Linked DNA regions of Macaca mulatta. The main gene of each other region encodes a partner of the protein of the gene in region 2 in a complex. Links are inferred from orthologs where the notes say so. Each region holds a gene or a part of one and is shown on either strand. Other genes may lie near its edges. The genes, in order: ITGA4, YWHAZ, CRTC1, CDC25C, PRKCE, MAP3K5 and PI4KB.

Evidence for each region.
Region 1: the proteins of YWHAZ (region 2) and ITGA4 are in contact, whole or in part, in a crystal structure (PDB 4HKC), measured with the Homo sapiens proteins. The link is inferred for Macaca mulatta from reciprocal best matches to the Homo sapiens genes YWHAZ and ITGA4. Residues at the interface, in NP_001129171.1 of Homo sapiens: Lys49, Arg56, Lys120, Arg127, Tyr128, Glu131, Gly169, Leu172, Asn173, Val176, Tyr179, Glu180, Ile217, Leu220, Asn224, Leu227, Trp228; in NP_000876.3 of Homo sapiens: Arg1007, Gln1008, Tyr1009, Lys1010, Ser1011, Ile1012, Leu1013.
Region 3: the proteins of YWHAZ (region 2) and CRTC1 are in contact, whole or in part, in a crystal structure (PDB 7D8P), measured with the Homo sapiens proteins. The link is inferred for Macaca mulatta from reciprocal best matches to the Homo sapiens genes YWHAZ and CRTC1. Residues at the interface, in NP_001129171.1 of Homo sapiens: Asn42, Val46, Lys49, Arg56, Arg60, Lys120, Arg127, Tyr128, Glu131, Gly169, Leu172, Asn173, Val176, Tyr179, Glu180, Leu216, Ile217, Leu220, Asn224, Leu227, Trp228; in NP_056136.2 of Homo sapiens: Arg147, Arg148, Thr149, Asn150, Ser151, Asp152, Ser153, Ala154, Leu155, His156.
Region 4: the proteins of YWHAZ (region 2) and CDC25C are in contact, whole or in part, in a crystal structure (PDB 5M36), measured with the Homo sapiens proteins. The link is inferred for Macaca mulatta from reciprocal best matches to the Homo sapiens genes YWHAZ and CDC25C. Residues at the interface, in NP_001129171.1 of Homo sapiens: Lys11, Glu14, Gln15, Glu39, Val46, Lys49, Asn50, Arg56, Arg60, Val61, Ser64, Lys120, Arg127, Tyr128, Glu131, Gly169, Leu172, Asn173, Val176, Glu180, Asp213, Leu216, Ile217, Leu220, Asn224, Trp228; in NP_001274511.1 of Homo sapiens: Gly210, Tyr212, Arg213, Ser214, Pro215, Ser216, Met217, Pro218, Glu219, Asn220, Leu221, Asn222, Arg223, Arg225.
Region 5: the proteins of YWHAZ (region 2) and PRKCE are in contact, whole or in part, in a crystal structure (PDB 2WH0), measured with the Homo sapiens proteins. The link is inferred for Macaca mulatta from reciprocal best matches to the Homo sapiens genes YWHAZ and PRKCE. Residues at the interface, in NP_001129171.1 of Homo sapiens: Asn42, Ser45, Val46, Lys49, Arg56, Lys120, Arg127, Tyr128, Gly169, Leu172, Asn173, Val176, Glu180, Leu216, Leu220, Asp223, Asn224, Leu227, Trp228; in NP_005391.1 of Homo sapiens: Lys365, Ala366, Leu367, Ser368, Phe369, Asp370, Asn371, Arg372.
Region 6: the proteins of YWHAZ (region 2) and MAP3K5 are in contact, whole or in part, in a crystal structure (PDB 6EJL), measured with the Homo sapiens proteins. The link is inferred for Macaca mulatta from reciprocal best matches to the Homo sapiens genes YWHAZ and MAP3K5. Residues at the interface, in NP_001129171.1 of Homo sapiens: Val46, Lys49, Asn50, Arg56, Lys120, Arg127, Tyr128, Glu131, Gly169, Leu172, Asn173, Val176, Tyr179, Glu180, Ile217, Leu220, Asp223, Asn224, Leu227, Trp228; in NP_005914.1 of Homo sapiens: Ser964, Ile965, Ser966, Leu967, Pro968, Val969.
Region 7: the proteins of YWHAZ (region 2) and PI4KB are in contact, whole or in part, in a crystal structure (PDB 5NAS), measured with the Homo sapiens proteins. The link is inferred for Macaca mulatta from reciprocal best matches to the Homo sapiens genes YWHAZ and PI4KB. Residues at the interface, in NP_001129171.1 of Homo sapiens: Asn42, Ser45, Val46, Lys49, Arg56, Phe117, Lys120, Arg127, Tyr128, Gly169, Leu172, Asn173, Val176, Tyr179, Glu180, Leu216, Ile217, Leu220, Asn224, Leu227, Trp228; in NP_001317650.1 of Homo sapiens: Lys290, Arg291, Thr292, Ala293, Ser294, Asn295, Pro296, Lys297.

The regions. Positions count from the first base shown.
Region 1 is NC_133417.1:86,445,856-86,449,365, reverse strand, and holds part of ITGA4 (integrin alpha-4), read right to left. Parts: intron 2,673-3,510; coding exon 2,547-2,672; intron 1,543-2,546; coding exon 1,423-1,542; intron 1-1,422. UniProt on the Homo sapiens protein: Integrins alpha-4/beta-1 (VLA-4) and alpha-4/beta-7 are receptors for fibronectin. They recognize one or more domains within the alternatively spliced CS-1 and CS-5 regions of fibronectin. They are also receptors for VCAM1.
Region 2 is NC_133413.1:111,307,877-111,312,120, reverse strand, and holds the start of YWHAZ (14-3-3 protein zeta/delta), read left to right. Parts: upstream 1-1,442; 5' UTR 1,443-1,652; intron 1,653-1,823; exon of another isoform or gene 1,824-2,125; intron 2,126-2,244; exon of another isoform or gene 2,245-2,409; intron 2,410-3,026; exon of another isoform or gene 3,027-3,187; intron 3,188-3,230; exon of another isoform or gene 3,231-3,256; intron 3,257-4,244.
Region 3 is NC_133424.1:19,237,848-19,241,898, forward strand, and holds the start of CRTC1 (CREB-regulated transcription coactivator 1), read left to right. Parts: upstream 1-1,241; 5' UTR 1,242-1,353; coding exon 1,354-1,479; intron 1,480-4,051. UniProt on the Homo sapiens protein: Transcriptional coactivator for CREB1 which activates transcription through both consensus and variant cAMP response element (CRE) sites.
Region 4 is NC_133411.1:147,148,083-147,150,463, reverse strand, and holds the end of CDC25C (M-phase inducer phosphatase 3), read left to right. Parts: intron 1-510; coding exon 511-644; intron 645-1,010; coding exon 1,011-1,122; intron 1,123-1,300; coding exon 1,301-1,450; 3' UTR 1,451-1,872; downstream 1,873-2,381. UniProt on the Homo sapiens protein: Functions as a dosage-dependent inducer in mitotic control. Tyrosine protein phosphatase required for progression of the cell cycle. When phosphorylated, highly effective in activating G2 cells into prophase.
Region 5 is NC_133418.1:79,191,506-79,195,507, reverse strand, and holds the start of PRKCE (protein kinase C epsilon type), read left to right. Parts: upstream 1-1,193; 5' UTR 1,194-1,299; coding exon 1,300-1,647; intron 1,648-4,002.
Region 6 is NC_133409.1:41,902,934-41,907,200, reverse strand, and holds the start of MAP3K5 (mitogen-activated protein kinase kinase kinase 5), read left to right. Parts: upstream 1-1,458; 5' UTR 1,459-1,809; coding exon 1,810-1,905; intron 1,906-2,151; coding exon 2,152-2,830; intron 2,831-4,267. UniProt on the Homo sapiens protein: Serine/threonine kinase which acts as an essential component of the MAP kinase signal transduction pathway. Plays an important role in the cascades of cellular responses evoked by changes in the environment.
Region 7 is NC_133406.1:115,752,883-115,757,003, forward strand, and holds the start of PI4KB (phosphatidylinositol 4-kinase beta), read left to right. Parts: upstream 1-1,318; 5' UTR 1,319-1,722; intron 1,723-2,618; 5' UTR 2,619-2,787; coding exon of another isoform or gene 2,788-2,812; coding exon 2,813-2,820; intron 2,821-4,088; exon of another isoform or gene 4,089-4,121. UniProt on the Homo sapiens protein: Phosphorylates phosphatidylinositol (PI) in the first committed step in the production of the second messenger inositol-1,4,5,-trisphosphate (PIP). May regulate Golgi disintegration/reorganization during mitosis, possibly via its phosphorylation.

The DNA.
Region 1 (3,510 bases), on a different chromosome or scaffold from region 2:
CACGGTGGCGGGCACCTGTAGTCCCAGCTACTTGGGAAGCTGAGGCAGGAGAATGGCAGGAACCCGGGAGGCGGAGCTTGCAGTGAGCCGAGATCGCGCCACTGCACTCCAGCCAGGGGGACAGAGCGAGACTCCATCTCAGAAAAGGAAAAAAAAAAGCACAAAGGGTATTCAAATAGAAAGAGAGGAAGTCAAATTGTTTGCAGGTGATATGATTGTATATCTAGAAAACTCCATGGTCTCAGCCCAAAAACTACTTAAGCTGAAAAGCAACTTTGGCAAAGTCTCAGGATACAAAAATCAATGTGCAAAAATCACAAGCATTTCTATATGCCAACAATAGACAAGCAGACAGCCAAATCATGAGTGAATTCCCATTTGCTACAAAGAGAATAAAATACCTAGGAATCCAACTTTCAAGGGATGTGAAGGACCTCTTCAAGGAGCACTACAAACCACTGCTGAAGGAAATAGGACACAAACCAATGGAAAAAATATTCTATGCTCATGGATAGGAAGAATCAATATCATGAAAATGGCCATACTGCCCAAAGTAATTTATAGATTCAAGGCTACTCTCATCAAGCTACCACTGACTTTCTTTACGGAATTAGAAAAAACTACTTTAAATTTCATACGGAACCATAAAAGAACCCATATAGCCAAGACAATTCTAAGCAAAAAGAAAGCTGGAGGCATCATGCTACCTGACTTCAAACTATACTACAAGGCTAACCAAAACAGATATACAGACCAATGGAACAGAACAGAGACCCCAGAAATAACACCACACATCTACCTAGGAATACAACTGGTCTTGAACTCGTAGCCTCCAGTGATCCTCCTGCCTTGGCCTCCCAAAGTGCTGGAATTACAGGATTGAGCCACTATGCCTGGCCTATTTTAGCCTTTATTACCTGTTAATTTCTAAAGCCATTTCACTTAGTTGAAGTGACAGAAATATAGTTTTCGAGTTTTACTCCAAAATTTTATTTGTTGAATGTCTTCATACTATCCTGCCTATATGACTGAATTTATAGATTGTATGTAAACTTAGCCACCAAGTTGTCAATATGTTTTAGACTTACCATTTCTTTTTTTTTTTTCTTTTTTTTTTTTTTTTTTTTTTTTGAGACGGAGTCTTGCTCTGTGCCCCAGGCTGGAGTGCAGTGGCGTGATCTCGGCTCACTGCAAGCTCCGCCTCCCGGGTTCACGCCATTCTCCTGCCTCAGCCTCCCGAGTAGCTGGGACTACAGGCGCCCGCCACCCCGCCCGGCTAATTTTCTTGTATTTTTAGTAGAGACGGGGTTTCACCATGTTAGCCAGGATGGTCTCGATCTCCTGACCTCGTGATCCGCCCGTCTCGGCCTCCCAAAGTGCTGGGATTACAGGCTTGAGCCACCGCGCCTGGCCTAGACTTACCATTTCTAAAATGGATGGTCGGCCTTCCAACTGGATATGAACACTGGCTTCTTTTCCACTTTCCATTTTCCCGAAATTACATAGGAAATTTAAACAATGTGGATCAGCTTTTATGCAGTACTTGAAAGGAATATAAAAGTGATACATTAAAATTTTCAACACTGGAAAATATTTTAAAAATATTTTATATATAATTTAATATATACTCTAATGGCATTTTGAAAATCATCTTTCTATAAATATGAAATTTAACATCTGCTTTCCTCAGTGGCATTTAAATTATCTTTAAACAAGACATGAATGCTTATTTTCTAAATTATAATAAAGTATTTAAAATAGAGCATATGTTCCTATTTGTATTAACAATCTTCTGGGACAGAATTTTTTAAAAAAATGTTCTAATCAGAGTCTTGCTAAGTTACATATTCTATGTTTGTTGTAAAACGTGGATCATTTCAAGGTGATGACTGCTTCTCCAGTTTCTTTTCATACATTCACTAAGCTGAAAAGAATGAAAATTAACCCATGCCACAAAGGCTGCCCAGGTGAAGACAACATCTTGGTGTCCTGAAGGGTTTGGAACAATGTTTTGTTGGCAAATAGTGGGCATTTGTTAGATAAAAAAATGAAACTGTATAACTTTTTTTTTCTTTTTGACATGGAGTCTTGCTCTGTCACCCAGGCTGGAGTGCAGTGGCATGATCTTGGCTCACTGCAACCTCCACCTCCCGGATTCAAGCAATTCTCCTGCCTCAGCCTCCCACGTAGCTGGGATTACAGGCACCTGCCACCACACCTGGCTGATTTTTGTATTTTTAGTAGAGACGGGGTTTCACTCTGTTGTCCAGGCTGGTCTCAAACTCCTGACCTTGTGATCTGCTCACCTTGGCCTCCCAAAGTGCTTACAGGCATGAGCCACCATGCCCAGCTAACATATTTATATATGGGATAGACCCTAGGTCTTTCTCAACTCTCCAACCGTGCTTGTTCCTTCCATGCAAGAATACTACCTAAACTTGGCTTCTCTTTTATTGAAGTGACAGCTCAAACCCATTGACTTGATTTTAAGTGTTTCACTTCTCTGTTGGAAAGCAGCAACTACAACCTGAAAAATGGAAACTTACCAATAGCCTCTTATCAGTCTTGGACAAGAACTGGAACATGCCTTTCAAGGTGTGCATTGCACTCTTTTGCTGCTCTAATGCACATACTCTTTGATAATTTTCAAAGTGGCATTCTCCAGTAGTAGTCTATGAAGATAGAAAGGAAGAGAAATCTTATCTTTCATCATTGGAAAAAACAGCAAAAAGCAACATGGTTTTAAAAGTTCCAGTAGCTTATCTTTGCTAAAATATATTAAGTACCTTTGAAATTGTAGAATTTTTTTTTTTTTGACATATTTGGGAGTGACTAAATATGTGTGGCAGAAACACAAAAACCCAGCTGAATTATAGAAGGTTGGATATAGGTTCTAAGCTGATAACGTGGCCTTAAACCTTGCAGAAATGTAAAAATTGATATTGGAACATTAGCATGATATTAAATATTTCTTTTCCTTTATAGGGGAAACAATATAACACCATATTCTTCTCTCTGAATCCGGAATTTAAGTAGGATTTTAAAATCAGACCTCAAACGTATTTAGATTTGTTGACTTCTGTCTTCAACCTGGCAAGCTCAAAACAATTCTGATGGAACCATCAATGAAAGAATATTGGTTCTTAAGAAGTGGTTTGAATAGTGCTTCCTTCAAAAAAGGCTATAATCCTCATATTTGCACAGTAGTTTCAAGTGCTATGAAGAAGTCTACCAATCAAGTTACTTCTGTAGGTCCATATCACACAAAAATGTATCTTAAAATAATTATTCAATGGAGATGGTAGAATATGGTTCTGTTATTTAAATCGAATGTAAAAGTTGCACTGTAAATCTATAGCTGTAATGAAATATATAATATTCAAAGCATAACTCAATAAATGCATGGTGAATTCATAGCTTACAGTGTGACTGAAAACAGTTATCCATTTTCGCATTATTACTTGAATAAAGGATTGGTTTGCATTTATTTTAGTATTTAAGACACACAAT
Region 2 (4,244 bases):
CCAAGCGCTCTCATTGCTAACCGTACAGTCTCTATGACTGTTGCAAGTGGTTTTGCAGGTCATCCAGGCACTAACCTTTTCTTAGCCCGAACACATTTAAAGAGTGAAGGGGCAGCGCACTGTGAATGTTTCTCTCTGAACTTCCTTAAGTCAACTGGGCGGAGGCCCTACCCGTTCAGGCACCTGCAATTTCCGCCCTTCTCCTTCCCCTTCTTCCGGGCTACTGTCCTCGCTCATCACCCGGCCCGTGGTCCACTCCCACCGCCAGCTGGAACCCTGGGGACTACGACGTCCCTCAAACCTTGCTTCTAGGAGACAAAAAGGTAATGATCGTCATGTGTTAAGTCACTGCAGTATGAGGTCTTCACGTGAAAGCTTTATTTGGGTAGGAAAACCTAGCCTACGAGAAACGGGTCCGTGCGGTCACGCCTGACTGCCTGTCTCCGGGTCAAGGCTGCCAGGACCAGCTCCAGCCCTCCGCCAGAGAAGGTTGTCCTTTCCCCTCGGAACTCTGGCTTCCCTAAAGCGGACGCGCCTCCTTCCAGGCCTCACCTCCCGCCGGCTCCGCCCGGCCCGGCCCGGCCCATCTCGTCCCCACCTCGGCGCCCACCCATTGTCCCCTCGGGCAGTCACCGAGCGCAGATCCCGAGCTCTCGATTGGAACGCCTCCCCATCACTCAGCCACACTCGGGCTGGACGCCTCACTCCCGTTTCCGAGCCATAAAAGGTCTAGGGCCGCTTCCCCCAAGCCAGCAGGTAAAGCCGCGGCGGCGGGAGGGAGGCCGGGAGGGGCCGCGCGCCCCTCCGGGCAAGGGGAGCGGCGGGGGGGGGCGGGGGGAGCGCACCACACACAACCCTCCCTTGCCGTGCGACCGCGCCCGGCCCCCGCCCCGCAAGTCCTGATCACAATGCCGGAGCCGCCGAGCCACCCTCGTCATCCTGCCCGGGGACGGCCCTGGGGCAGTTACTACCGCGAAGCACGGAGGGCGGGGCGGGGCGGGCCGGGCCTCGGGGAGAGGTGGGGGGATGTGAAAGGTCCCGGATGTTGCTGAACGGGAGCCCCTTCCAGAGGGAGTGACTGGGGCAAGCGCAGACGGCCTGAGCGAAAGCTAAGGTGGGGGTAGGGAGAGAGCGCCTTCCCACAGGCTGAGAGGAAGAGTGGACCCGCGGAGGCCACAGGGGAGAGGGAGAGAGAGGGCGTCGGGGACCCAAGGGGAAGGCGAGGAGTGGGGGGGTTTGCGGGAAAAGAAAAAAAAAGCTTCCTGCCTAGGTGCACTCGGGACAAGAGTAGAGGAGCTGGGAGCCGAGCGGGGTGGGAGAAGTGGCGGCTGCGGGCGAGGACGCACGCGCCTCCGCTCGCTCTCCAGCGCGGGCGGGCAAGACGCGCGCCGGGGAGCGGCGGTTGCGCGGGGCCCAGATCGCTGTGGGCACCAATCAACGGTTGCCATAGCAGCGTTTGACGTCATCGTGCGTGTGGTGCCCCTGCTGCCGGGGCTGGTGATTGGAGGAAACCCCGTGTCTGCGGAGCGGCTGTAGCCTGTGAGCAGCGAGATCCAGGGACAGAGTCTCAGCCTCGCCGCTGCTGCTGCCGCCGCCGCCCAGAGACTGCTGAGCCCCTGTCCGTCCGCCGCCACCACCCACTCCGGACACAGGTGAGGAACCTGGCAGCCGCCGCGCCCCGCTCCTTCCTGTCCCAGGCCAGCCTTCCGAACGCGTGGGAGCCGTCCTCGCTCCGTCCTCTCATCCCCACTAGCCCCGCGGTGGCGGCGCCGGGCTGAGGCGGAGTCTCCTCAGCGGACACGGGCGGCGGCTCCTCTTCCGCTGAGTTCGGGCGGGCGGCTAGCGGCCGCCTCCGACTCCTTGCTTCCGCATCGACGCCCCGGCGCCGATCGGTGCTCGCTCCCCCGTCCTGCTCCCGGGGGTGGGGAGGGCGCCCACACGCGAGATCCCCGGGGATCCCCCTGTCGCCGGCTCCCAAAGGTGGACGAGGCATGGCCGGGGCGCCGCCGGCCGCGATCCGTCCCCACCCTTGTCTCTGCGGGCTCCCACCCCCTCCCTCGTCGCCCTTCTCGCTTCCGCCCGAGATAATGACTCGGCGGCGGCGGCGGGCATCGCAGTGGCGCAGGTGAGGCCGCCCCCTCTTCTCTCCCTCGGCCGCCCCCTCCTTCCCCTCCCCCGCCCCCCTCCCCCTCGCGCAGCCTCTGCGCTGGGCGCTGCGGCGGCGGGACCCGGCCCTCCCCCACCCCGGGAGGCGGCGGCGCGGCGGGGAGGGGCCGGGGGCCTCGGGGATCCAGGAGCGAGGGAAAGGCCTGGCCGAGAGCGGGCCGGAGCCCAGGCCTGGCACGGCGGCGCCCGCCAGGTAGACCGGGGCGAGGCCGCGCGCCGGCGCGAGGGGGAGCACACTGCGGGGTGAGGTTTTGGGGTGGGGCTCTCCTGGGACCTAGAGCTGAATTTCGTGGGCTCCGCGGTGGGAGGAAGGACTTGAAATTTCCTGGTGGGGGTGGGGGATGGGTCTGACTTTTTTTGCTCCTTTCGAACGGGCGGAGGAGGTGCGGACGGGGGCTGCGAGTCCAGGTGGGGGTAGAGAGCGGGGTGGGGAGCCCGCGTCGGCTTCCGTGCGTGATGGACTAGAACTGGAGGTTCCCTGCGCTCGGTTTGGGGACGCATATCCTGCTTTGGGGGCGGGTGACCCTGAGCATAGCCGCTGGTGGCCCGCTCTGCTGGGTGTGGCTCTCGTCCCCTCCCCCACCTGCAGCTGTCGGTCCCTTAGAGACGCTGTACACGGGCATCGGCGCTGATCGGTGGCGGGGAAGGCGCTGGGTGGGAGAGCGGGGTGTGTCCGTGGCGGGGCTGGTAGTGGTTCCGCTTCTGCGGGCGGCTGTGGCGTCTCTGCCCCGGGGTCGGGCGGCTTCGCTCCCCCCCACCCGCCGCGCCACGGCTTGGGCGGGGGCGCGGGCTGCTCCTCCCTCTGGCTTCGGTCGGAGGAGGGGGGAATTAACACTCTGCAGTAGGTTGGGCTCCCTGACACAGATCCGCCATGACAAAGGAGAGTCGGGGACTTGAGCGGAGGCTCCGACTTGGGCGGAGCCTGGAGGGGGGTGGTTGCGGATAAGTGGACCGGAGGATTTTCACTTTAAAGTCCGGGTCTGCCGGTTTTCGTTTCGCCGTAGTCGACGTCTCAAGTCAGGTAAGGGTTAAATGGGTGCGGTGAGTCCTGCCCGCAGTGTAGAGGCGAGGCCTTGGAGCACTCATTACTGTGTGAGAAACCTTATCCACTTCCTCTTGTACCGAAGTGATTGGGTAGAGAATCCTTTGTACTGGTTTAAATCATTTTTCATTAGAAGCAGAATTAACCAGAGACTGTTTCTGAGATCCTAAGGGAAAAATTAGTAATTTAGACACCTGAGGAAAATAATGCCGACATAAAGGTTAAATAGTTTACGTATTGAGCCAGTACCTTGTATCCAAAGTGGCTAAGTAATTTGTTTAAAATGTGGGGACCTGTTCTCATTTAGTTAAAAAAATACTGTGAGATTTCCCTGGGAAGGCAAAAGATGATTAATATTCGAGAGTCAGCTTCCAAGGTGAACTCTTCCGTTCACATAATTTAAAAGTGCACTTCATTCAGGGTGTGTATTTTTCTCTCAAGTCGTTTTTTTTTTGGTGTGGTATCGCTGTGTGGATTAGTATCTTTGTGCTGTTTGCCAACTTGCCAAAGGATATCTTTCCAGAAAAATGTAGCTGAGGTAAATAGAAAAGGTCTAGGAAACTAAAACGCGAGGGAAAGAGAATTAGGTGGATAGTCATGGTGAAGAACAGCTTGAGTGATAACATCCAATTACAGTATGACAGCTAGACGCAAAATGCAGCACTTCTGCATTTCAACTGGAGCAATGACATTGGAAACACTTGTAAATCAAGTACTTCCAACGTGATATATTCTAGTACTCACAGTAAGAGTTGAAGTGCCATGACTTGTGGATATTTTTAAAGCATGTGGACATATAACAAGATAAGGAGTTGAGGCATTAGGGTCAGATATTGATCCTTTGTGGTGGATTTATACTCAAAATATCTGAAAACAAACAGTTTGGTCATTCCTCCCCCCAAATTGTTATGCTATTATTGGCTGGCAAATGTTGCAGAGATCTAGTAGGTTTGGGGTGGGGGTAACACTAAAACTAAAATTTAATCACTCCTGACGAAAGTATTATGAAAGTAAAAAGACATGAGTTAAACTGACA
Region 3 (4,051 bases), on a different chromosome or scaffold from region 2:
CCTGCTCCCCTGGCTCACCACTCTGCCATCAGGGAGTCTCTGCTCATTCTTTCACTGCTGAGTCTTGACGGGATTTATGGACCCTTCTGTTAGCACCTTTTTGCAAAATAGAGATCCTTGAATAAGACTGGACTGGAGAAGTACGCAGAGGGAAGGCTGAAGCTCTGTAACTCCCGTTCTTTGGGCTCAGGTATCCAGAGAACAGCAACATGCCCATTGCAAGGGAATGGGAAAAGACCGTCGTTGGCTGGGCGTGGTGGCTCACTCCTGTAATCCCAGCACTTAGGGAGGGCGAGGCGGGTGGATCACCTAAGATCAGGAGTTAAAGACTAGCCTGGCCAACATGGTCGTTAGTCTCTACTAAAAATACAAAAATTCGCTGGGCGTGGTGGCGCATGCCCGTAATCCTAGCTACTGGAGAGGCTGAGGCAGGAGAATGGCTTGAACCTGGGAGGAGGAGGTTGCAGTGAGCCGAGATCGAGCCCCTGCACTCCAGTCTGGGCGACAAGGGCAAAACTCGGTCTCGAGAAAAAAAAAAAAAAGAAAGTCGTTAAGGACAACCGCTAGGTTTATGGACTGAGGGGGCCGATTGCAGGGTTCAGGTCTTAGCTAAGATAACTTCCTGCCTCCCTGTCTGTGGTGGCTGCAGGAGCCCCCCTCCCGAATGTTCTGTGGCTGGCCACTGGTGTTATTTACCGCATCACATTTATCTCCATCTGAAAAGTTCTTGGTTATTTGTGTGCTATGTCTGCCCCCTCTCTGACTGTACACTCCATAAGGGCAGGATCACCTCTGCTTGTTCACGCCTGTACCCCAGTTTGCCTGGCACATAGTAGGTGCTCAGTAAATATTCCTTGAATGAATGAATGCATGAGTGACCAACGCCCTAGTCTGTTTTCAGAGCTCTTAGTCCAAACCCAGGTTCAACCTTGGGGTGCTACCAATCCTTGGGGGGGTGCCTGGCCCCACCCTTGTGAATTGGGAGGATCTGGGTCAGGCCGTCTCCCTTTTGGGGGCTCCAGTGCCCCAGCCGGTTCGCCGTCCTTGTCCAACAGCCAGGCGGCCGCTGTCCAGCGGGCCAGGCGGCGGATCACTGCGCCGGCGCTGAAATTTCCACTCGCGCCCCACTGTACTTCCCGCGGGCCCCGAGCGCGCCGCCGGGGCGCGCGCATGCGCCTTCGCCCCCGCGCCGCGCGCCGCTCCCGTGCGCCTGCGCCGCGCTCACGACCGCCGGCGCGCCTGCGCACAGCTCGCCGCCCGTGGGCCCAGCCGGCGCTTGCGCGGTGGCACGGGCGAGTGGGGGGGCGAGGAGGTGGAGGAGGAGGAGGAGGAGGAGGAGGCGGCGGCGAGAAGATGGCGACTTCGAACAATCCGCGGAAATTCAGCGAGAAGATCGCGCTGCACAATCAGAAGCAGGCGGAGGAGACGGCGGCCTTCGAGGAGGTCATGAAGGACCTGAGCCTGACGCGGGCCGCGCGGGTAAGGGGGCTGCCCGCGCCGACCCTTCAGGGCCGGCGGAGGGAGGGAGGGGGCGCGTGTCCGGCGCGTGCACGGGGCGGGGGGGGGGGGCGCGGCGGGGGCGGGGCGCGCGCGACGGGGGCGGGGCTTGGCACGGCCCGAGGGGGACAGGTGTCCCCACGCCCCGGGCGTCGTGGGCGGGACAGGTGACCCCACATCATCCATACCTGATGGGGTACAGGTGCCCCCACATCACTGCTCCCCGGAGGAGATAGGGGCCTCTACATCATTACTACTAGGAGGGAACAGGTGCCAGTACCTTGTCGTTACCTGACAGGGGACAGGTGTCCCTACATCATTGTTACCCGAGGGGGACAGGTGCCCCACATTATTACTACCTGGAAGGGACAGGTGCCCCCGCATCATTGCTACCTGGGGGGCAAGATGACACAGGTGTATGAGCTGGGTGCTGCTTGCAAGCACCATTGGTAGCTGGGGGTGAGGGTGCAAGTGCCCCCGCATCCTTGCTACCTGGGAGGGACAGATGCCCTTCCATCCTTGCTACCTGAGGGGGACCGGTGTCTCTACGTCATTGTTACCTGTGCCTTTACTCCCTGGGTGTTGGAGGAGGAACAAATGTCCCCACTTGCAGAGCTGAGGTGGGACAGGGGTCTCTCCCTCTTGGACAGCTGAGGGAATGGTCAGATCCTGTCCCCCAGGGGATCCAGAGGGGGGCCAAGAAAGCAGATTGTGCTCGGTCCTGGAACTTGGAGTAGAGACAGCTGCCCCTTCTCCATGTAGCCCATATGGTGGGGACCAGGTGATGTTCCTCCTAGTGGAACAGGGGACGCCGACCACGGATGGCCCCTGCCCTCTCAGGACCAGGGCAGAGGGCCAGGTCTGCCTCAGGTGGCTGGGTGCATTTGGTGTGCAGGAAAAGGCCAGGTTCTGCCAGGCTGGCAGAGCAGATACCCTGCAAATCTCACCTGGGAAGTTGTTGTGGGCCGGGAGTAGGGGCTTGATTGGGGCTGGTGTCTGAGCACGGCAAGGCACCTGAGTTCCTCAGGCCTCAGTTTCTTCCCTTGTCAGGCATTCTAGCAAGACCTTCCTCCTGGGCCAGGGCGGTGAGCACACTTTGCAAAGGTGATGCTGAATCTCCACTTTGTTCTTGCAGTGTGGTGAGACCTCTCTCCTGCATCCTGGGGCCTTGAGGAGGGTTTGGGTGGGGGCTTTGCAGATGCTCATATCCCTGGTTTCTGGATTCGGCCACTGATGTGACTGGCTCAGGTGGACTTAACCTCAGTCTCCCATTCCTTAGGTAGCACTTTCAGGTTGTGTTACTTTGTAACTAGTTGTTTGTTTCTCTGAGAGATTGTGACCTTATAGACCTTATAGGATTTGTGTCTTCATTTCCGTGTTAGTAATGATTGGGAGCTTGCTGTCAGCCAGGTACTGCTTTAGGCATGCTAGGTGAGCGTGCCACATCTGTCCCTCCAGCTCCAAGCAGCTACATTCTTGCTCAGGATGTAGAGAAAGAGATGGCTGGTGAATGAATGAATGAATGAAAAAAAAAAAAGATGGCCAGGCGCAGTGGTTCACGCCTGTAATCCCAGCACTTTGGAAGGCTGAGGCGGCAGATCACCTGAGGTCAGGAGTTCGAGACCAGCCTGGCCAACGTGGTGAAACCCCATGTCTACTAAAAATATAAAAATTAGCCGGGCGTGGTGGTAGGCACCTGTAATCCCAGCTACTCAGGAGGTTGAGGCAGGAGAATCACTTGAACCTGGGAGGTGGAGGTTTCTGTGAGCTGAAATCACGCCACTGCACTCCAGCTTGGGTGACAAGAGTGAAACTCCATGTCAAAATAAATAAATAAATAAATAAATAAATAAATAAGAAGAAAGTGTGCGACTTGAGCATCCTTCCACATGAGTGTTCCCCACATATCAGGGCTTCTGAGGTAGGAGTGGCCACTTCTTATCTCTAGCACATGGTGTGTGCTGGTATTCAGTTGGTGTCAAATGTTTGCAGTGTGACCAGAAGAAAGGGGTCACAGTAGGTTCATGGGTGTCATTCTGATTAGAAGTCCAGTTTCTGCGTGGGATTGGAAATAGATCATTGTTGTTGAAAACATCTCTTTAAAATAATAGCTTTATTGAGATATGATTCACGCATCATACAATTTACTTGTTTAAAGTGTACAGTTTGGTGGTTTTTAGTATATTCACAGAGTTGTGCAACCACCGCTATTTTGTAATTCCAGAACATTTTTTTATCCACCCAGAAAGAAACCCCATCCCCATTAACAGTCACTCCCCATTCCCCCTCCCCCAGCACCTGGCAAGCACTAAGCTGTCTTCTGTCTCTGTGGGTTTGCCTATTCTGGGCATTTTATATAAACGGAATCACACAACACGTGGCCTTTTGTGACTGGCATCTTTCACTCAGCATCATGTTTTCAAGGTTCATCTCTGTAGTATCATGGATCAGTGCTTTGTTCCTTTTTACGGTCAAGTAATATTCCATTGTATGGATATGTTGTATTTGTTTATCCATTCATTGATCAATGAATTTGGAAAAATTCTGAGGCCGG
Region 4 (2,381 bases), on a different chromosome or scaffold from region 2:
ACTGGAGATAGCTCTTTATTGAGAAGAGTCTGTGGACAAAGGGACCTATGAACTCTAGAATTAGGACAAAGATTACATATTTGAAGCACATCAAGGCTGAGGTCCTCATTGTTTTAATTCTGTATACCTTAAGCAGCTTACTTTCCCCTTTCCTTCCTAGATCTATCTCCCTCTTTTCTGTAGGAGCCAAGGGGTCCTACCTAGAAATAAAAACATGAATCCAAGGACTAAAGCACTTTGCAAACACTTAATATTCATGAACATTCCTCGCAGTGATCCCTATACTTCCAGTAGTTCAGTTCTATGAACATTTATTGACCATCTACTACATACCAAGCTCTATGCCAGGCGTTCAGGGTATATACAGAGATATACTTAGACCCCTGCCCTAAAGGTGCTGATAGTCCAGCTTTTCTGGTCCAAATTATCCCAGGTTGGTGTCTCAGTCATTTCTAAGTATTGGCACTGTCTATAAGCCCCTGAGGAAATACTAAAATTCTTTTTCTACAGGGAGCCTTAAACTTGTATAGTCAGGAAGAACTGTTTAGCTTCTTTCTAAAGAAGCCCATTGTCCCTTTGGACACCCAGAAGAGAATAATCATCGTGTTCCACTGTGAATTCTCCTCAGAGAGGGGCCCCCGAATGTGAGTGTCTAAATGGGGTCTGGCGGGTGATGGAAATGGATTTTGAGTTGGACTTCCCACACCAGTTCAGACAGAGACTGACTGGATTCTACGGTTTGAAGAATGTTAGGGAGGTTGAAGGAAGACGTTTCTAAAATTGAAAAGTATGAAACAATAAAGGAAAAGGGACTTGAGAATGAGACCGCAGTGGAGGAAAGGAGGAAGGGTGGTGCTACTTGGACCTTTTTTTTTGCAAACACAGTGAGATTGGAAGGTCCTTGTTGAGGTTGGCAATAGTCTATTCCTCTCCTCCCTGCCCAGTGAATAGCCCCTGGGATCCTGACCTTGTTTCTTTCCACCCCACCCATCTCTGGGTTCTCTCTAAAGGTGCCGCTCTCTGCGTGAAGAGGACAGGTCTCTGAACCAGTATCCTGCATTGTACTACCCAGAGCTATATATCCTTAAAGGCGGCTACAGAGACTTCTTTCCAGAATATTTGGTAAAGGGTGGGGCATGCGGGGAGCCAATTTTAGCATGCAACTCCCAGGGCCTGCAAAGCCCTCAGAGAAGAAACTGCTGCTCCTCCGTGGCCACTGCCAGCAGCAGCATCTCTATTATCCTTCGTAGGTAGAGTTCAGGAGTCTAGAGAATCCCTTACTCTGTTCCTTACCTTTCAGGAGCTGTGTGAACCACAGAGCTACTGCCCTATGCATCATCAGGACCACAAGGCTGAGTTGCTGAGGTGTCGAAGCCAGAGCAAAGTGCAGGAAGGGGAGCGGCAGCTGCGGGAGCAGATTGCCCTTCTGGTGAAGGATGTGAGCCCGTGACAACATTCCAACCACTGGCTGCTAACGAGTCACCAAAAGACACTGCAGAAACCCTGAGCAGAAAGAGGCCTTCTGGATGGCCAAACCCAAGATTATTAAAAGATGTCTCTGCAAACCACCAGGCTGCCAACTTGTGTACAGGCCTGGGAATGGCTTCGGTTTCAGCAGAGCTGAAAGCTGGTGGCAGAGTCCTGGAGTGGCTCTATAAGAGTGGCAGACTTGAGTTGCAGAGAGATTTTTGTTGGTTCAGGGAACTCTGGCATTCCTCTTCCCAACTCCTCGTGTCTTCTCACAGGCCAGCCAACTCTTTCTCTCTGGGCTTCTGGCTGTGCAAGAGAGTTGTCTACCCTCTTTCTTTGTATTTTCCTTCTTTGTTTCCCCCTCTATTTTAAAAATGGAAAAATAAACACTACAGAATGAGACGTGTGATTGTGAGCCTAGCCTGCTCCTAGAAGATCTGTCTACAGAGGAGATCACCAAGTTAGACTACTTCAGACATATTATCTTTATTCTCAGCTGAGGCCAACATGCTTTTCTCTAAACCAGCAATTCTTAGGCCGTGGCTTACATCTGTAATCCTGGCACTTTGGGAGACCGTAGTGGGTGGATCACTTGAGGTCAGGAGTTCGAGGCCAACCTTGCCAACATGGTGAGACCCCCATCTCTACTAAAAATACAAAAATTAGCCAGCATGGTGGCATGCTCCTGTAGTCCCAGCTACTCAGGAAACTGACACAGGAGAATCGCTTGAACTCAGGAGGTGAAGGTTGCAATGAGATCGTGCCACTGCACTCCAACCTGGGCAACAGAGAGAGACTCTGTCTCAGAAAACAAAAACAAAACAAAAAACCAGTAATTCTCAAAGTTTGGACCCTAGATCATCAACATCATCTGAACTTGTTTGAAATACAGATGTTCGGCCGGGCGTGGT
Region 5 (4,002 bases), on a different chromosome or scaffold from region 2:
TGTTGACCGCAGGGTCCCCGAGAGATGCGCGGCCCGGCGGGGCCCATCCGTGGCCATCCACGGCCCCCGGCACGCGCACCCAGCCCAGCGCCGCCGCTCCCGCGGGTCCCGCGCGGGGTCCTCCCCAGGTTCCCCCGCCCGCCGCCGCGACCCCGGGCAGCCTCGCCCGCTCTCCACGGTTCTCTCTTCGGCTCACTTTTTCCGTATTGCTCCCCCAACCGGCAAAACTTTCTATTTCCCCAAACACTGCCGTGCGCGCGCGCGCGTGCACACACACTCACACACACACTCACACACACTGACGTCTTTTGCGCATTTCCTGCATTAGAGGGAGGGAGACTCGCTCGCACACCGACCGAGGGAGAGGAGACCGCGGGGGAGCGCGGGCTGGCGGGCGGCGAGCGAGCGGCAGCCGAGAGCTGGGACGCGGGGAGCGCGGCGGGCGGGCGCCGGCGCCCAGGAGGTGGGGCCGCGCTGAGTCGCAGTCCCGGCCCCGCCGCCGCGCTGCGCACCGCCGGGTGCTGGCCTGCGCCCCCGAGCCGGATCGGCGGCCGCCCGGACTCCGAGCCGGCGCGGATGTGAGATTCCGGGCTCCTGGCGCCTCCCGATCGCCGACTCCGGCGCGGCGCTGCTTCGCCCAGGAGGCGGCGGCCCCGGCTGGTCGTGGGGCTTGTGGATTTTTAAAAATTTGGCTCCGAGGGGGACCATTTCCTCTCGACATGCATCCCTCCGGATAAACTGAACATCCCTCCGTCCACCCCCCGCCCCGCGCGGCCAGAGGCAGGCGCTGAGTGTGCGAAGAGGATCCGGGTTGAAATCTGCGCCCCCGGTTCTCGTCCCCGCCCCGTCCCACCGCCCCATCCCCCTCCCGGAGTCGAAATTTCCCGGGATTATGTTTCGGAAAGGTAGGTAAACGCCGGGCGCGGCGCCCGCTTTCCCGCAGCCCGGAGTCGGAGAGCCAGCGAGGCGGCAAGGCAGCCCCTGCGGCTTGCAGCGGAGCCGACAGCTCGTCTTCTCTTCTGGAGGTGCAGCTGGTGGTCGCGGGGAGAGACTTGCTCCAAACACGGACATTCCCCAGCTCTCCCCCCTCCCTGTTTTCCGTTAGGAACCCGGCGAGGAAATACATGCACTGGCTGAGACTCGCCCGCGCCAGGGCGCAACGCCACAAGGTGTAGGGAGTGTGTGGGGTGGGGCGAAAGGGGACCCAGGAGTCCCTGTGGCTCGGAGCGGGCCGTCGGTTCTTCATTCCTGCCCTCGGGGCAGACGGAGTGACCCCGGCCCCCACTCCCCGCCCCGACCATGGTAGTGTTCAATGGCCTTCTTAAGATCAAAATCTGCGAGGCCGTGAGCTTGAAGCCCACAGCCTGGTCGCTGCGCCATGCGGTGGGACCCCGGCCGCAGACTTTCCTTCTCGACCCCTACATTGCTCTCAATGTGGACGACTCGCGCATTGGCCAAACGGCCACCAAGCAGAAGACCAACAGCCCGGCCTGGCACGACGAGTTCGTCACCGATGTGTGCAACGGGCGCAAGATCGAGCTGGCTGTCTTTCACGATGCCCCCATAGGCTACGACGACTTCGTGGCCAACTGCACCATCCAGTTTGAGGAGCTGCTGCAGAACGGGAGCCGCCACTTCGAGGACTGGGTGAGTTCGGCGCCTCCACGTCGGTCCGGGAACCCGGTTGTGGGGTCCCGGGGAAAGACTCGCTGGCCTTGATCGTAGGGGTCCGGGACTTATTGACGACTGGGGTGTGTGTGTGTGTCTGTAAATCTCAGTTTCCTTGAGGAGGTGCACTTCACTTCATAGCTGGGGAGAAACAGGCACTGGCGAGGAAGATGAGACTTGGAAAGAGGATGTGGCCCTCTGCCCCCTCTGTGCCCTCCAGATGGTGGGTGCTGCGGGAGGTTTGCAAACTGGGAGAGCCTGGGCCGCCGGTGCTGAAGGTTGGCCGAGGACCCGGCTTTCTTCCGCAGGCGCGTGGTGGGCTGGCTGTGTGTGATTGTGTGTGGGTGGGTCCCTCCGTCCTTGGAAAGGCACGTGGAGCCTTTGACTGAAGGCTTCTTGCACGTCCTGGCTTTGTCCTGCTTAGCCGAGCGAGGAGTTGCTTTATTTTTCCCTCCGAGAGGGAGCTGGCTTGTTTCTGTTCTCCTGCATGGTGGTTAGCTCATCTTCTGACATACGAGTAGAAAAAATGTGTTCTCCAGGATGTCTCCTCTACGGTCCCAGAAACATCAGTTGGGCTTGTTTTGTCCAATTCATTGCCCATCCATGCAGAATGAATGTTGCATTTTAAGAAGGGTTCTGCCTGTGGGTAATTGGAAGTCAGCGCTTTGAATCTTATTTAAAGTTATATTGTTTCTCTGTTTTGATTGTTAAGATACTGTGCAATAAAAGACGATTTCTAAGCCTGAGATTGAGTTGTTAATTGATTTCATTGTGAAACTATTAAGGATTTGGAAATAGGTCTTGTCTCAATCTACTATAAACCAAATGCATCCAACCTTGGCACTTGGACAAGCGAAGAGAAGGAAACCTTCGTTTTGCTTTTTGTATTTGTTTTTGGGTTTTTTTTTTTGGTTTTCTTTTGCTCTTCTTGGAAGGAAGGTATTAATTTAGGACATGGATTTTTGTGTTTTCAGGTTTGTTACATGTTTCCACCAAGAGCAAGTGCAAGCGTTCCTCTGGAGGTATATGCTTTCGGGGTTCTTTGGTCTACGGAAAAAGTGAGAGAGCTATCTAAGCCTCAAAAGTGGTGTAGAGCAATTGCTTTCTGTTGAAAACCAGATAACTTCATGAATGTCCTAGAGGTCAGAGGGTGCACATGAATCACCTTGGCATATCACCTTACACATTTTTTTCAAGGACACGGAGTTTTAGGGAAAAATAGGAGAGAGCCTGTTGTTTTTATGCTCATGGCTGTGATGTAGTCTGCCTGAAACCATGGTTACGGTTTCACAGGAAAGCTCCAACAAGCCACATGCGTAGAACTCTAGATTTGTGGTTTGCACTTTGGAAAGCAGGCAAACCTTTATGGAATCCTGAGAACTCCATGCCATTCTATTCTACTTCACAGATGTCCCTCATCTCTGCTTCCCTCAGCCCCCACAACAGAGCTCCCACTCATTCCCCATTTCCTTTCCATGCATGGCCTTTGGGCTCTTTCCTCATGGAGGCAGTGCATGTGAGAGGGGGAGTGGAAGGGCTAACTCATTTCAGAGGCAAACCTTGACACTGAAAACCTGTGATTTTGGAGTTGTTGTTTTTGGACAGGAAGGGGATGGAAAAAACTTGACGCTGGTAGCTAGGAGATGGGGGCCTTTTGCAGTGTATGCAGTTGAGGGGCTTTGACAGTGGGGCAGAAAACAGGGACAAGGAGCAGCAGGTCTGCATTTATCCATAGAACAGATGTTGGTTGGAGGGAGAGCGTCTTTGTATCTCTGGTGATGTTTTGCTGGGGCACACCACAAACTCTGGGAGCTTCAGGACACTGTCCCCACCTTCATCACTCCTAGTGAAGCATGCAGTGGGAACTTGTTTGGTGATCATCCTCTAAGGTTCTCAAATTCATGTTGGATTTGGCCCTAGACCAGATCATTTAGTGCACAGGCAAGTTTTACAGATGAGGACGTTGAGTTCCAGAAAAGTTAATTGGGGACCGAGGGTCACGTGACAAGCAAAGGTGGGTTGGAAGTAGGGCCCTCACCTCCTGTTGCCCATGGCTTGTCTGATGGGGAGCCGAGCCTGTCCATCTGGCCTCCCAGCCTGTTCTCCCTGCAGATCCATGAGCTGTGTCCCCGACATTTTTATTGTGCTTGATAACTTCATCTCTTTTGCCTTATAGCAAGTGTGAATTAGGTATGGCAGGTGTTGGACAAACTAAAAAACTTGAGATAGAGAAGCCCAAAGTCTCAAGGGTGAATCAAGTGGTGGAGCAGGTACAGAATGCCCATCTGTTTTCACCAGAGGATGTTGTGGCCACTCTGGTTCTTCCAGGCTGAA
Region 6 (4,267 bases), on a different chromosome or scaffold from region 2:
CTCCCACCTTGGAGAAAATTTAAAAACTCTTTCCTTTAATCCTTTTATTCTCTCTCTCTTTTTTTAATTGAGATGGAGTCTCGCTCTGCCGCCCAGTCTAGAGTGCAGTGCTGCCATCTTGGCTCACTGCAACCTCTGCCTCCCGGGTTCAAATGATTCTCCTGTCTCAGCCTCCCGAGTAGCTAGGATTACAGGCGGCTGCCACCACGCCCAGCTAATTTTTGTATTTTTAGTAGAGAAGGCAGTTTCACCATGTTGGCCAGGCTGGTCTTGAACTCCTGACCTCAAGTGATCTGCCTGCCTCGGCCTCCCAAAGTGTTGGGATTACAGGCATGAGCCACTGCGCCCAGCCTTTCCTTTAATTCTTTAGTATTCAATTATTTTATCCTTCCTTATTACCCGGTTTGAAATGTAATTCATAGCTGGACATGGTGGGTCACACTTGTAATCCCAGCACTTTGGGAGGCCAACGCGGGCGTATCACCTGAGGTCAGGAGTTCGAGACCAGCCTGGCCAACATGGTGAAGCCTCCCTGCCTCGCCCTGTCTCTACTGAAAATACAAAATTAGCCGGGCGTGGTTGGCGCATGCCTGTAATCCCAGCTACTAGAAAGACTGAGGCAGGAGAATCGCTTGAACCCGGGAGGCAGAGGTTGCAGGGAGTTGAAATCGCGCCATTGCACTACCGTTCCGGCAAGAACAGCGAAACTCCGTCTCAAAGAAAAAAAAAAAAAAAAAAGAAAAGAAAAAAGTAATTTACATTTTCTTCTGCCCTTTTCATAGGACTCACCAGTCTCAGTTCCTGGAGACGGGAAATACAAAACCTATTTCTTTACTCAGTTGTAACTTGCACTGGCTTTCCTAACAATTACAGCATTCTGGGGTTCTCTGGGAACTTACACATCTGTTCTTTGCTCCCCAAATAAGCAGGTACTTTTTTGATTGCTCTTAAACAATCTGGGTATTTCCCTCCCCTCCTCGAGTGATGCAGTTTAAAAAATAGAATAGGTCACGTAATTCTCCTGTTTCATCTTGCTGATAATTTGTGGAGTCGGGTATAGACTCCATTTTCTATCTTAAGTAAGTATCTGGCGCTTGTGGGGGAATTAAGATCCTAAATGAGAATGCTAAGTCCTTCGGCAGTTGGCACTAATCAATTACTCATTACTCATAACGGAATGAGCCACTGGAAATTTTAAAAGGAAAGGTACATGGGAGAACCTGATAAATTTGGCCTGCCACTTCTGGAGTGCCACAGTCACTAATGAAGCACCCTCCGGTGTAGGCCCTGGGTCCAGGGCGCTATGTGCAACCTCCTGCCTCGCGCAACGTCGGTCTCCCGGAGCCTGTCCTGCCAGCGCCTCGCACGGTCCCAGTCCACGAGGCCGCCAAGGCCCGGAGGGGGGCGCCCTCGTTGCGGGGAACACTGGAAATGCTTCAGGGGCGGACTCCGAGGACCGAGTATTGGTTGGAGAGACTTTTTGCGCCACCCTATAATCGCTTGCGCTCCAGGTCTTCTTAGTTGGGGGCCGGGTGGGTGAGGACCGGGACCCCATGCCACGGGCGGCACTCAGAGAAGGGCTGGGGTCCGAGGGCCGCAGCGCGGTCGGTTTCGTCCGGGCTCGAGCTTCCTAGCAGCGCCCTACCTGGGGGCGGGCCCTGATCCCGGGTGCCGCGACGAGTGGGTGGCCAGAAGCTGGTGGCGGAGAGTGAGAGCGACTGCTAGGAGCGACGAGGCTGGCGCGGGGACGACGCGACGGAGGCGATCGGAAGAGAAACGAGGTCGGGCGAGTAGGAGGAAATCCAGCCCATGAAGGGGAGCTGCCGCCAAGGAGGGAGGAGGGTGCTTTCGGCTGCCGCTGCTGCTGTTCCGGGACGTCGCCCGGGGAGCCCGCCCGCTCGTAAGGTGCGCGCCAGGTAGCTCAGCACCCAGGGGGCGCCCTTCCTGGCTCCTCCCAGAGCGGCCGGGACGGAAGGAGCTGCGCTGTGCGGCGCTGCTGGTGGCAAGCGCGGGCTGCACCCCGAGCGCGGCGCCCTTGAGCTGCACCGCAGCGCAGGTTTGTAAGCCGACTTGTCAGCCGGCCAAGAAAAGGAAGCTCCGTCCCTTCCCGCTCACCCGACTTCCCCACCCCTTGTACTCTAAACCCTGCAGAGGGCGAGCGGCGCGGCCACGGAGGCGCCGAGGAGGAGCGAGCCGCCGCCGGGCAGCGGCGTGCCCTCGGGGGAGAGGGCGCCGGAGAGGAGGCGGCGGCGAGGCGGCGAGGGCGCGGCGCGCGATGGCAGTTGCTTAGCCCGGCGGGCGCGGAGCAGCCCCGAGCTGTGGCTGGCCAGGCGGTGCGGCTGGGCGGGGGACGCCGCCGCCGTTGCTGCCCGGCCCGGAGAGATGAGCACGGAGGCGGGCGAGGGCATCACTTTCTCCGTGCCACCCTTCGCCCCCTCGGGCTTCTGCACCATTCCCGAGGGCGGCATCTGCAGGAGGGGAGGAGCGGCGGCGGTGGGCGAGAGCGAGGAGCACCAGCTGCCACCGCCGCCGCCGGGCAGCTTCTGGAACGTGGAGAGCGCCGCCGCCCCAGGCATCGGGTGTCCCGCGGCCACCTCCGCGAGCAGTGCCACCCGAGGCCGGGGCAGCTCTGTTGGCGGGGGCAGCCGACGGACCACGGTGGCATATGTGATCAACGAAGCGAGCCAGGGGCAACTGGTGGTGGCCGAGAGCGAGGCCCTGCAGAGCTTGCGGGAGGCGTGCGAGACGGTGGGCGCCACCCTGGAAACCCTGCATTTTGGGAAACTCGACTTTGGTGAAACCACCGTCCTGGACCGCTTTTACAATGCAGGTGCGTGTGTGACCCCTTTGCCATCCCGCGCGGTCGGGACCCACGTTTAATCTGGCCATCTTCGGGGCATTTCATTTTTCTGGGCGGGAAGCATTTACTTCTTGCCCCACTTTGGGGGCAGCGAGCGCTGCTGCGTGACTGCTCTTGTCGCTTGCTGCTCCGGGGAGAGCGTGTGTGTTTGTGAAAGAGTCTGTATTTGTGCGAGAGACCCATGGATCCACCCACCGCCCAACGCTGGAGCCCTGGGTCCCTGCGATCGACTTGAACTGTTCTCTAGCAGTGAGAGATATTAGCCCCAGTCAGTCCTTCTCCGTTCAGTGTCTCGGTTTCGCTTCTGTGAGGTTTGGTCCCTGTTTTCCTTCTGTATATACCTGTGACCGTTTTAGATGAGGTTCTCCTTTTCTCCGTGTAGTTTTGAGAGTACAGGAACGATGACATACCATGCACGCAGAGTGTAACTATAGTAATTTGCACGCCGTATCATGAGCTTCGCAACACACCTTACCCTCAATAAGTTTTAGTAGCTTGAATTTCCTCTCACCAACCCAGACTTTGAAGTAATTACAGTGCTTCCAAAGGCAATAACATCACAACTTACACTGAACTTGTGTGTTATCTTTGTAAGGATTTTGGTGAAAGAACCAGGGCCTGTTTTTTGTTACCCCATAAACCATGATGGGCTAGAAAGTTTATAATTTAACATTGTCTAAAACACCTATATGCTATCCTAGTAATAAGATTAGTTTGGCCATTAAAGTGATTGCTAGCATAATCCATGAAAGAAATGTATCTTTTCAACCTATCTCAGATTTCAGAAAACGTTAAGGCAGTTCTAGTAACTGAAGCAATTAGCTGTTTGCAAATGTTAGGAATAATACCATGCTATCGAAATTAACCTTTAGCCTCCTGTACGTCCAGTGTTGAGAATATATACATATTTAAGTTTACATTTGTGGGTAAAAACTTGGTTTAATGGTTTCAAAACAGTACACTTCTTGCATTTGTGATCACATAAAAGGCTTTATTTTCCAATCTTGTTTTCAATTCTGATTCTCTTCAGTATCTTCCAAACACCTGAAGTAGGCGTATGTCAGTTTTGGAATTCAGCCAAAGCTGAGTATTTTAAGAACAACAAGAACTTCATGTTAAGGAAGCCAGACTAAATAAACTAGGACTTTCTGGTTCTGGTATTTTTAAAATAGTTTTGGTCTTCATAACTGAGCATGGCTATAATGTATTATAGCTTGATTCTTTGGGTAGCTTGCTATAAAAGTTACATCAACGTAACTTTTCTAAAAATTATAGCGCTCTTATTTTTGGATTATAATTTGGAAGAAGCTTCAAAGAACTAAAAGATATGAGAGGAAAATACCCAACTGAACACTTGAGCCTATTTTTATTGCACTGATTGGGCGTTTTTTTCTAGGGCTCTAGAAA
Region 7 (4,121 bases), on a different chromosome or scaffold from region 2:
TTAAACATTGTAAGTAGTGACTCTTTCATCATCTATCCTGTATGATTGTCCCAATAATTAATAATAAAGTATTATAGTAGCAACTTGTACTCTCTTGATCCTCACAAAACCCTGTAATGGGCTAATATTACTTCATCCATATGTCTTCTTTGTAGACATAGAAACTGAGGTTCAAAGAGGTTACATTAGTTATTCCAAATCAAACAGCTTGTAAGTGGCAGGGAAGATGGCATTCAAGCCCCGGCCTCAAGTAACTAGCCTCAATGTATTATGTAAGGCCCTAACGAGGGGCATTGAATATTAAGTAAAGCCTAGGAAAGACGTTGAGACAGAGGTTCTGAGGACAAAGAGGGCTCTAAATCAACAATGTTAACCGAAAAATACACAAAGCTGGCTGGGTGAGGTGACTCAGGCCTATAATCCCAGCACTTTGGTACCTGAGGCCCGCAGATTGCTTGAGGCTAGCAGTTAGAGACCAGCGTGGGCAACAGAGCAAGACCCTGTCTTTACAAAACAAACAAACGAAAATTACACAAAAGCAACACCAGAGGCCCATTTGCATGGCGTGTTTTTGTTTATTTGTTTCGCCTAATATGGCTTCGTTTTGTTTGGAAGAAGGGATTGTGCCCTCCAAGCCTTTGCCATTTCACTCACCTCTCCCAACCTGGCCCTGTCCAGCCCCTCCCAGGAGGGCTCGGCGTATGGATGCTGGAGGTCACAGGCTGCCCAGGCTGGTGGTGACCTCGGAGGCAGAACCACGGCCTCGAGTCGGGCCTCTCTAACGGCGAAAGACTGACGCGGTCGGACCGCGCCATTCCCGAAACGTTAAGGGGTTTAACCTCCGCATCGTCCTCAAAGATGAGTAGGAAAAGGGCAGTGAGGGAGAACGTCTTCCCCGTCCGCCGTCTTCCTGCTCGCCCTTCTTGAAACCCAGCGTCCATCCCACGGCCTGATTTACTAAGGGAGTATTGTAGCGTAGGGGATGGGGAAAAGTCATTGATTACGGTAATTTGGTTGGTTACTCAAACGGTCATTTACATATAATTTGCATGTTAATATACTTCTGGAAGTATGCATATGTCCATACTTCTCTAACAGGGCACCCACGCCCGGCAGCTCACCCTACTTATGCAGCAAATTTTACTTCTCTCTCGGCTTCTTTAGCCTCGCAAACGCTATCGCTTAGACCCGCTTCATAAAGATTGTGCCCTCCTCCCACCCGTAAGCTCCTCCCTTCGCCCTCTCTCCCTCGCGAGCTTCCAAACATCTTTTCCCCGCCCCCTTTTCTATTTCTGAACAGGCATGTTCCGGGCAGCTCACCCGACTCCTTAGATTACTATGGGATCGGTAGGGTCCTGAGCGTTGGAGAAGCAGGAAAGCTTATCCTGGGAAGAAGGGCTTGGCTTGGATTTAGGAAAAGAATACTACATCGAGACCTGCTGGGGAATTTTATTTTATTTTATTATTATTATTATTTTTGTCTTGGTTGTACTGAGGGAGGAAGAGGAGGTTGTGTGGCCCGGTCGACTTGTGGCAGCCTGAAGGCCCCTTCAGGCGGCGCCGCGGGCAGCCCCGCAGCCGGGGCCTGGTGCAGCCGCCGCGGCCGCTGTCAGGGAAGCGCAGGCGACCAATGGAACCCGGGAGCGGTCGCTGCTGCTGAGGCGGCGGTGTCGGCAGTCCGACCGCGACTGCCCGCACCCCCTCCGCGGGGGTCCCCCAGAGGTAAGCTACTCCTCCTCCATGAGTCACCTTTGCCCTGTTGGGGGGGTGGTCGCTCTCCCACCCTGTCCCGCACAGTCTTCTCCACCTGAGTTCGACTACGAAACTGCCCTCCTGGTGTCAACTGCACCCCGGGTTCCTTCTCCACCCTTTCCTCTCAGGCCTGGGGTCCTCCTCCGCTTTTTGGCTTCCTCTTCTATTAGCTCCTCCCTCTGCCTCGGGGATTCCCCCCTCCCTTACTCTTATCCCTGTTGCCTACATCTCGAATTATTCTTTTTTTAAGTCATGAACCCTTTCCACATCAGACGACTCCCATAGGCCCATCCTTGTCCTTCCTCGTCGTCTCTGCCCCTGCCCCAAACCTATTCCATGGACTCCACCTTTACCTCTTTTCCTGGTTTGCCCTTTTCTTCCGATGTCCCTGTGCAACTCCGGCGCTGGGTTCCCATTTCCCTGAGACAGCGATTGTATCCTTGTCTTCCTGTGCTGCTTCTGATTCCATTACCTCACCGTCACCCACCCACCCAGCCAGCTCCTGGCTTCCAAGAATTGCCTGTTCCCTTCTCCTCAAGGGATCTCGGGCCCTTGTCATCAATCCCAAAGTGCCATTTACATTCTTACTTTGAACCTAGTCCTCACTCTTCTCTGGATGCATTATGATCCCTACCCTTAACTTTCTGTAGCTTCTCTTTCTGCCTCCTCAATCACCCAACCTTCTAGAGGTTTCTGTCTGTAGGGGAGAGGTTTGACAGTGCCCTTCCCATTCAGGATTTCCACCTTTGACACCTCCCTCGAGTTTCAAGGATTTTGCTGATCCTTGTGACATTTGGTTCTGTTTTTCCCGTGGTCTTCTTGCGTTCTCTGTCACACTCTTTATCTCCACATACCACTTATTTCAGGATCAACTAAACCTTGAACTAAGAAGAAAAATGTGTTGTGAACAGGGGGAGCCTCAGCTGCCTCAGGCCGTTCAGGACAGAAGGGTGTTTCTGAAGGCCGGAGCAAGTTTTGAAGAAGTCCCTATCAGATTACACTTGGTTGACTACTCCGGAGCAGCCACTAGGAGGGATGAACAGGCCTGCATGGAAATTGAATGAGATTGTGAGAAATCTTGTTTCAGATTATTTAATTTTAGGCTTTTGTTAAAGGAATCACAGAATAGAGTGCCTTCCCACCCCTGTCCAGATCCATGAGGAATCAGTTTACTCTTGTGGTTTACTAGAATAGTTTTGGTTGGGGTTCCATAAGAACTCAGGCCTGGAGTGGGGTAAGGGTGTAACTGGAAAAAGGAACATGAGACAATGGAAAGAGCTTATACATTCACAATCAGGACTCCTGGGTTCAGCATGTGACTTCCTCACTTGACCTCTAAAGCGATCCTTTTGGAAAATGGCCCACTCTCTATAGGCATCAGTGCAGTAATAAGTTGGTAGCAGGACGTGGGTTGGGGGAAAAAAATCAGATTTGGTTTCTTTGTTTACAAAACATTTTGGGTTCCCCAGGCAAAAGGTATTTATTAGTGATGATTTAGTCATCCAGAGAATTTTCCTTCACCTTGATCTTTCTGTCGGATGTTTCTAGTCCACAACCAGGGGTGTAAGTCATTTTGAAAGACAAGCTCCAGGACTGCTTCTTTCATCTGCTTTGCTTTTTCGCCCAGTGCATTAAGTGGCTGATTTTCTGTGCTGTTCCTCATGTACTTGATCCATAACTCCAGATTCTATAGGTGGAAAGTATGTTTGTGGGAAAGCACTTCAAGGAAACTGGCTGGAAAAGAGAACTTGGAGTGAACTGAGACTTAGGCAACTAGTTGCTGCCATGTCTCTCTCAGCCTGTGATAGTGAAAGGGCACATAAAATTCCATTCAGTTTCTAATTCTAGGCCTGTTTGGGAGTAGTTATGTCATCTTATCCCACTTCCTTTCTCTTCCTTGTTGTTAGCCATGGTACAATCTCCTCATAATTCCCCTTATTAGAAGAAGCTTTCCTGCCGGGCGCAGTGGCTCACGCCTATAGTCCCAGCATGTTGGGAGGCTGAGGCAGGCAGCTCACCCGAGGTCAGGAGTTCGAGACCAGCCTGGCCAACATGGTGAAACCCCGTCTCTACTAAAAATACAAAAAATTAGCCAGGCATGGTGGTGGGCTTCTGTAATCCCAGCTACTCAGGAGGCTGAGGCAGGATAATTACTTGAATCCAGGAGGCGGAGGTTGCAGTGAGCCGAGATCATGCCAGTGTACTCCAGCCTGGGTGACTGAGTGAAACTCTGTCTCAGGGGGAAAAAAAAAAAGAAAAAAGGAGAAGAAGCTTTCCTCCTTGGAAGCATCTCCAACCAGAAATCGTATTTGCTCTCGTATCTGCTTTCTTCTTAGAGTTGGGTCCACACTCCATGAGAATGCTGAACA